Linked DNA regions of Callithrix jacchus. The protein of the gene in region 2 purifies or fractionates together with the protein of the main gene of each other region. This does not show direct contact. Links are inferred from orthologs where the notes say so. Each region holds a gene or a part of one and is shown on either strand. Other genes may lie near its edges.

The links.
Region 1: the proteins of CSTF2 (region 2) and CSTF3 fractionate together in Homo sapiens (co-fractionation; 4 studies listed by BioGRID and IntAct, with this or other methods). This does not show direct contact. The link is inferred for Callithrix jacchus from reciprocal best matches to the Homo sapiens genes CSTF2 and CSTF3.

The regions. Positions count from the first base shown.
Region 1 is NC_133511.1:98,475,643-98,479,142, forward strand, and holds part of CSTF3 (cleavage stimulation factor subunit 3), read right to left. Parts: intron 3,405-3,500; coding exon 3,288-3,404; intron 3,019-3,287; coding exon 2,944-3,018; intron 922-2,943; coding exon 778-921; intron 403-777; coding exon 300-402; intron 1-299. UniProt on the Homo sapiens protein: One of the multiple factors required for polyadenylation and 3'-end cleavage of mammalian pre-mRNAs.
Region 2 is NC_133524.1:97,134,136-97,137,635, forward strand, and holds part of CSTF2 (cleavage stimulation factor subunit 2), read left to right. Parts: intron 1-223; coding exon 224-343; intron 344-457; coding exon 458-595; intron 596-2,965; coding exon 2,966-3,089; intron 3,090-3,500. UniProt on the Homo sapiens protein: One of the multiple factors required for polyadenylation and 3'-end cleavage of mammalian pre-mRNAs. This subunit is directly involved in the binding to pre-mRNAs.

The DNA of each region.
Region 1 (3,500 bases), on a different chromosome or scaffold from region 2:
TTGCCCAGAGTCATCAGAGATGAATATAAACAACTCTATGTCTCCTAACTCTAACTTTGTAGGTTTATCCCACTACTGATGGTACTTTACTAAATAAAAACAGTTCTGCAGAGTCAAAAAGTAACTACCATTGCTCTGTAAATATATTCATGGTTGATATGACACAAGTATTTCTTGAGTGCCTATCAAGTCTGCTATGATGTCAAAATTATAATACATTCAAGAAGGAAAAACTCAAGCACCATAATTTCAGATGGTTTAATGTTAAGTAATCATTATAGATTCTAGAATCAACCTACCATTGAGGTGAGAAAGATAGTCAATATAGGCCAGGACATACTCTGGAATATCTCCATACTTTTTTAGCCCCAGCTCAAAAATCTTAAAGGCAACAGATTTGTCCTACAAGTAAAGAAAGTAAAGTACTGATTTCCATGTAATGTCAGATAAAATACTTATAAGAATATTAAAATTATACCTAAATAAGACCAAATAAATAAGAATTAAAGCAGAAATTAAAATCATGTTAAGTAAAAATTGCTGAGCTAAAAACTATTTAAAGGAGTTTAGGCTCAGAAATGTGGTGATTAATAAGGCATGAAAAGCAGGCAGTTGGGGATTTGGATGATGCTCTGTGTAATTTTACACATATACACTTAGGCTGTCTTTAAAAATGGAGCAATAAAATCTTAATGACAGAAACTAAGACCACCTTTCTTTTACAAGTCTCAGATGATGGAAGTTGTTTTACCTTTACACTTGTATTTCAGTATTTACCTTACTACAGTAATACTCCATGAGTGCTGCAGTAACATAGACATGGTGGCGGGTTCTGGTATCTTCTCTTGCTTTTTTAAATATCATTCTTCCAGATTTGATGCCTTCTGCTCTCCGTGCAAATTTCATATATTGGATATATACCTATGCAAAAAAAAAAAGTATTTGTGTTTTACAAATTAGGCAGTATGTTTCCTGTATAAAAAAGTAATCCTCAATACCCAAGAAATTAGAAAGTAGGAATTTAGATAACATGCTATTTAAATCCACAAGCTAATTTTTCTGATATTAGATATTAGAGATGTAAGCAAATTAATTTGCTATTGTTTTTTATTGAGATATAATTCACATACCACAAAATTCACCCTTTACAATTCAGTGGGTTTTTGTTGTTATTGTTGTTGTAGTTTTTAAAGACGGGGTTTCACCATGTTGGTCAGGCTGGTCTTGAACTCCCGACCTCAGGTGATCCACCCGTCTTGGCCTCCAAAGTGCTTGGATTACAGGTGTGAGCCACCATGCCCAGCCCTACAATTCAGTGGTTTTAAATATATTCACAAAGTTGTGCAATCATCACCACTAATTCTAAAATTAAAGGTTAAGAGGAAAAGTGTGAAACTACTAGAACATACTCCACTAATGAATGCCAATATCTAAAAGTCTCGAGAGTTAATTTAATACAAGCATGTTTGCAATACATGTTTAACTTCTCATTTTCTTGGTTTGTATTTATTTATTTTTTTAATTAATTTATTTTTTGAGACGGAGTCTCACTCTTGTTGCCCAGGCTGGAGTGCAGTGGCGCAATATTGGCCCACTGCAACCTCTGCCTCTTAGTTTCAAGCAATTCTCCCGTCTCAGCCTCCCAAGTAGCTGAGATTACAGGTGCCCGCCACTACACCTGGCTAATTTTTGTATTTTAGTAGAGACAGAGTTTCACCATGTTGGTCAGGCTGGTCTCAAACTCCTGACCTCAGGTGATCCTCCCGCCTCTGCCTCCCCAAGTGTTGGGATTACAGGCGTGAGCCACCTCGCCCAGCCTTGGTTTATTTTTAAAAGCCCACTATTCTATTTTCTAAACAACATATAATGGAACTTCATGGATAAACAATGAGCCATTTTATACCCAGCACCTATGAGTGTCTTAACATATCGTGAGTAAGCAGTATTTGTTTAATGAACAAATGACTATTAGTAGGGTCCTGGTTTGTCCAGTTTTGATAGATTGATAAATGGATGGATGAATGAACTATGAGTTCCTCAAGAAAAGGAGTTTTATCTAGTTTGTCATTATGTTGCTGAAGTCTAGCACAACGCATAGACTCCAGCAATATTTTTGCTAGATACGTTTGTGGAAAGAATTATAATAATAAATGTAGGAACTAGAGCAGTGGAATCCCAATATAAATCAGTAACAAAAAAAAGTAGTGTAGCTATAATTGACTGGAGGCAGAGGGTCTAGACACACCCACAAGCCTGTCCCCTTCCTCTGCCAATGGCAAAGCACCACTGCACTTTTGCACTCAGGACTTTGAAAACCACTATGATAGAATAGGATTTAGAATAAAGTGATTTTCAGTCTAATTTCTTCCCAGGATATTGGTTGTAATCCCAGCACTTTGGGAGGCCAAGGCGGGTAGATCATGGTATCAGGAGATTGAGATCATCCTGGCTAACATGGTGAAACCCCCTCTCTACTAAAAATACAAAAAATTAGCCAGGCATGGTGGCACTCACCTGTAATCCCAGCTACTCAGGGGCTGAGGAAGGAGAATCACTTGAACCCAGAAGGTGGAGGTTGCAGTGAGCCTAGATTGTGCCACTGCCCTCCAGCCTGGGCGATAGAGTGAGACTCTGTCTCAAAAAAAATAAAATTAAATAAATAAATGAAAAGAAAAAATTCTAACAGAAGACAGATCAGCAAATGTCAGAGATAAGGGCAGAGAGAAGGGTTATATCTACAAAGAAGTCACATGAGAGAATTTTTGAGGGATGATGGAGATGTTTTCTATCTTAATTGTGGTGATGATCCCATGACTCAATGTTATTTGTCAAGATTCCGAGAACTATACAACAAAAACAGTGAATTTTACTGTATATACACTTAAATTGTTTTTTGTTAGATAAGAATGTAAAGGAGGAAAACAGATGTGTAAAGTTACTCACCAAGGTGGGGTCAATATCCTCAATTGCCAGAAGTCGGTTATATATACTATGAACCTTTTCATACTTCATGCGACTCTAAGGTGGTAGAGAAGAAGTGAATATTAACATGTGGTCATAAATAAGCAGGATTTGAACTCTAAGGAATCCAAAGGCTATAATCCCCCACGTCTAATGGCATCTCCACTGAGCATAAATATAGTATAAGCTGATAACGAATAACTGTTCATTTGGAATTATCTCTGTCTACCAAAAGCAATATGCCTGGCAAAAAAGCAGCAAGAAGAAATGTTCAGTCCTGCAGTAAAAAATTGAATTATAAGAAGGCTCTAAATATTTTTACTTACCTCTTCATAATCTGCATATGCAAAATAAAGAAGCATATTCTTCTTCAATAAAGTGCTTATGGCTCTTTCATATATATTAGCAGCTTCATCACTAAATAATTTGGCATTATTCATATCCTAGGAGAAAAAAAAGCTCATCATCAATTTTAATATAATTGTGAGAGAATAAAATTAATAGTTATATCTACTTTATTTTATTTATATGTGTCTAAG
Region 2 (3,500 bases):
TTAAAATTTGGCCTTTTTCCTAAATGACCGTATCACAGTATTTGAAATGCCTCTTTCTTCTCTTGCCTGCCATGACCAAGGATTGTTTTTTTTGTGTGTGTGCCATGCAAAAACTGTTGATAAAGAGCCTCTTGAATATTACATTTCTCAGAGGGGAATGGCTTTAAATCACTATCAGTTTCTAAGTCATAAGTATTAAACCTGAATCTGCTTATCTTCTTAGCTCTGTGTCCAGAATAGTCCCCAGGAGGCACGGAACATGTTGCTTCAGAACCCTCAACTGGCTTACGCTTTGCTGCAAGCACAGGTAGTGATGAGAATTGTGGATCCGGAAATTGCCCTGGTGAGTGCTTCTGGTTCTTTTATGGAAATGGTAGGGTAAACCTTGAGTGGGATAGGAACTACCTGATTGCTTTGTTAAACAGATAGCTCATAGGTTTGTCTTTTCACTTTTTAGAAAATTCTACATCGCCAGACAAATATCCCAACGCTGATTGCAGGCAACCCTCAGCCAGTCCATGGTGCTGGGCCTGGCTCAGGATCCAATGTGTCAATGAACCAGCAGAATCCTCAGGCCCCTCAGGCCCAGTCTTTGGTAGGGCTTTATCCCTTAACATTTATTTTATCAGTCTTAGAATATCATTTTCTTTTTAGGAGAATATATTGAAAGAAGAATGGTCAGGAACCAGAGATGATAATTTCAATTTCCAGGCATAAAAGCAATTTCCAGGTTGCAGAGCACATGGCATCTGAATGAATATAGATTCGATTCCAAGTTTGTAAAACAAAGAGATCCTTCCTGTATGCCCTTTTCTTATAAGCTAACTTTGTGTGTATGTGCATGCCTGGCACTGTGGTTGGCACTTCGTTATTCCATACGCATTATCTCATTTAATCCTCAAAGCAACTATATGAGGTTGGCACTCTTATTATCTCCATTCTTACCAATGAAAAAAGTAAAGCTTGCTTTCAAAGCGTGATACAAAACCCTAAAGTCACAACAAATTGATACATTTGAAAACTAAAAAATTTCCATGTAAAGAAAAAGAAATAAATATCAAAGACATGACAAATTGGGAAAAAGTGTTTGCCACACACGTGAGGACAACAGACTAATAAAGAGCCCATAGTCATGCACAGGAATGTTTATTGCCATATTGTAGTGAAAAATTGGAAATGTCCTAAATGTACATCAATGGAAGAATGGAGAGAATGTGTGGTACATTCATCCAGTGAAATACTCTACAACAATTAACTAAACTACACGTATCAACATGAATGACTTTGAAAAACAAAATTCCATACAGTAGTTAAGATGAACTAGGATACATGACATCAACACAAATAACTCCAAAACAATACCATACGGATGTGAAACTAAGTGAATGTGGACATATTCCCGAAATGTAGGATATATGTATCTGCATAAATCCCCAAAATATGTTGAGTGAGTTGCAAAAGAATATATTGAGTATGTAATGATTCATATAAAATTTTAAAACATTAAAAAGAGTCTTAGTGGTCAGCTAAGGAGAAGAGAGCACAGGATGCAGTTGGGGAAGACCATACAGGAGATTGATTTATTTTATTATTTATTTCCTAAGCTGGGTGGCTATTTTCTATATGATTTGTATATCTGTAATTTTTCATACTAAACTTTAAAAGGCCTCCTATAAATTAGTAAGAAAATTACCAATAACCCAGTAGAAAAATGGGAAATGGACATAAATAGTTCACAAAAGCAGAAATGTAAATATATGAAAATGTATTAAACCTCAAGATAATGTAATAAATTATCATTAATATGCATAATGTTAAAAAATAAGATAATGTAAATAGAAACTACAATAAGCTACCATTTTTCATCTCTCAGATTGGCAGAGATACAGGGCAGGGGTCAGCAAACATTTTTCCGTAGATCAGATGGTAAATATTTTTGGCTTTGCAGGCCACAGGATCTGCCACAGCTACTCTGCCATGGTAATATGAAATTAGCCATAGGCAATATGTAAACAAGTGTGTGTGTGGTTGTGTTGCAATACAAGTTTATTTATAAAATCAGGCGGTGAGCCTGATTGGGCCCATGAGCCATAGTTTGCCAACCCCTGCTCTAAATAAATAAATAAATACATTTTCAGAGATAGAAAAAAAAAACCAAGGCCCAGAGAGGTTAGCTGGTCCAAAACTTAGCACAATTATAAGTGGCAAATCTAGTTCTGAGCCTGGTATTATCTGACCTCATAGCCAGTTTTCTCTTAACTACCTTCCTATACAGCTCTTCCGTTTCTTTTGTAGAGTTTTGTGTTCCTTAAACGTGTATGCAATTTTTTTAATATAACGTGGCTTTTATTCTTTATTTATTGAGCTCTTTCTATTTCAAGGGACTACTCAGTTTTTTGGGGAATGCACAGATGAAAAGATGACATTCTCTTTCTCTCAAAGAGTTTTAATGTAGCATTAAAAAAAATTTACATTCCCCCAAAACCAGAATTATATCTAAGGACAGGAATGAGAAAACATTGGTTAAATTTTTTTAAAAATTAATTTTAAAAATGTGGACTACCAGCAGTATTTTTCTTTTTAAGAGTCCTAGTCTCCTTTTTTCTTTCTTGGCTTTAGGGCATTTTTTTTTTTAAACTGTTATTGCCAGACCCCAATCATGAAGTTAACAATAGGTGCTATGTGCTGTCTTGCCACACAGATAAGACTTGTCAATCTCTACATTAAGAATATGTTCCATCTTAACCGTGTTCCATATAACCAGGTTCATGATGTGTATTGCAACTTGCTTCTGTGGAGTTCAAAGTGTGTGACAAATCTAATGCTGCGTAAGACATGCTATACAAAAAGGATGTTTGGTAGACTATTCGGGGCTGTTCATTTGAAGAGGACTTTTAAGGTCATAGACTTAGTATATTGCGTATCCACAGAGGCATGTACATACTCTGTTTTTTTTCTTGGTCAGGGTGGAATGCATGTCAATGGCGCACCTCCTCTGATGCAAGCTTCTATACAGGGTGGAGTTCCAGCACCAGGGCAATTACCAGCATCTGTCACAGGACCTGGCCCTGGTTCCTTAGCTCCTGGAGGTAAGTTTCATTTAGTCTTCACCATTTCAGTACTTGCTAAAGTTTTGTCATAGCCACTGTTTCAGTACAGCCAACTATGATAATGGGATCCTTAAGTAAAATTAATACACAGCTAGAAAGCATATATCCTAGGTGGAGGAAATAGAGTTCTTATGTTAAATCCTATATGTCTAATTATAAGAAGAGGGAGAGGGACAATAAAGCGGAATAACATAGTAAAACTTCCAAGTTAACAAGTGGGAAAATGGAATGAGTGGAAACTAAATCAAGCCAGCAAAAATAGAGAAAAGGAAAAAAGGAAGGGACAATGTAAAATAAGTAATAATAAGTGTAGAGTAAGATGGAAGGAATAAAAACTAATGTTGTTATTCTGCTAAATATGAATGAACTATTAGATTAAGTTCAAAAGCT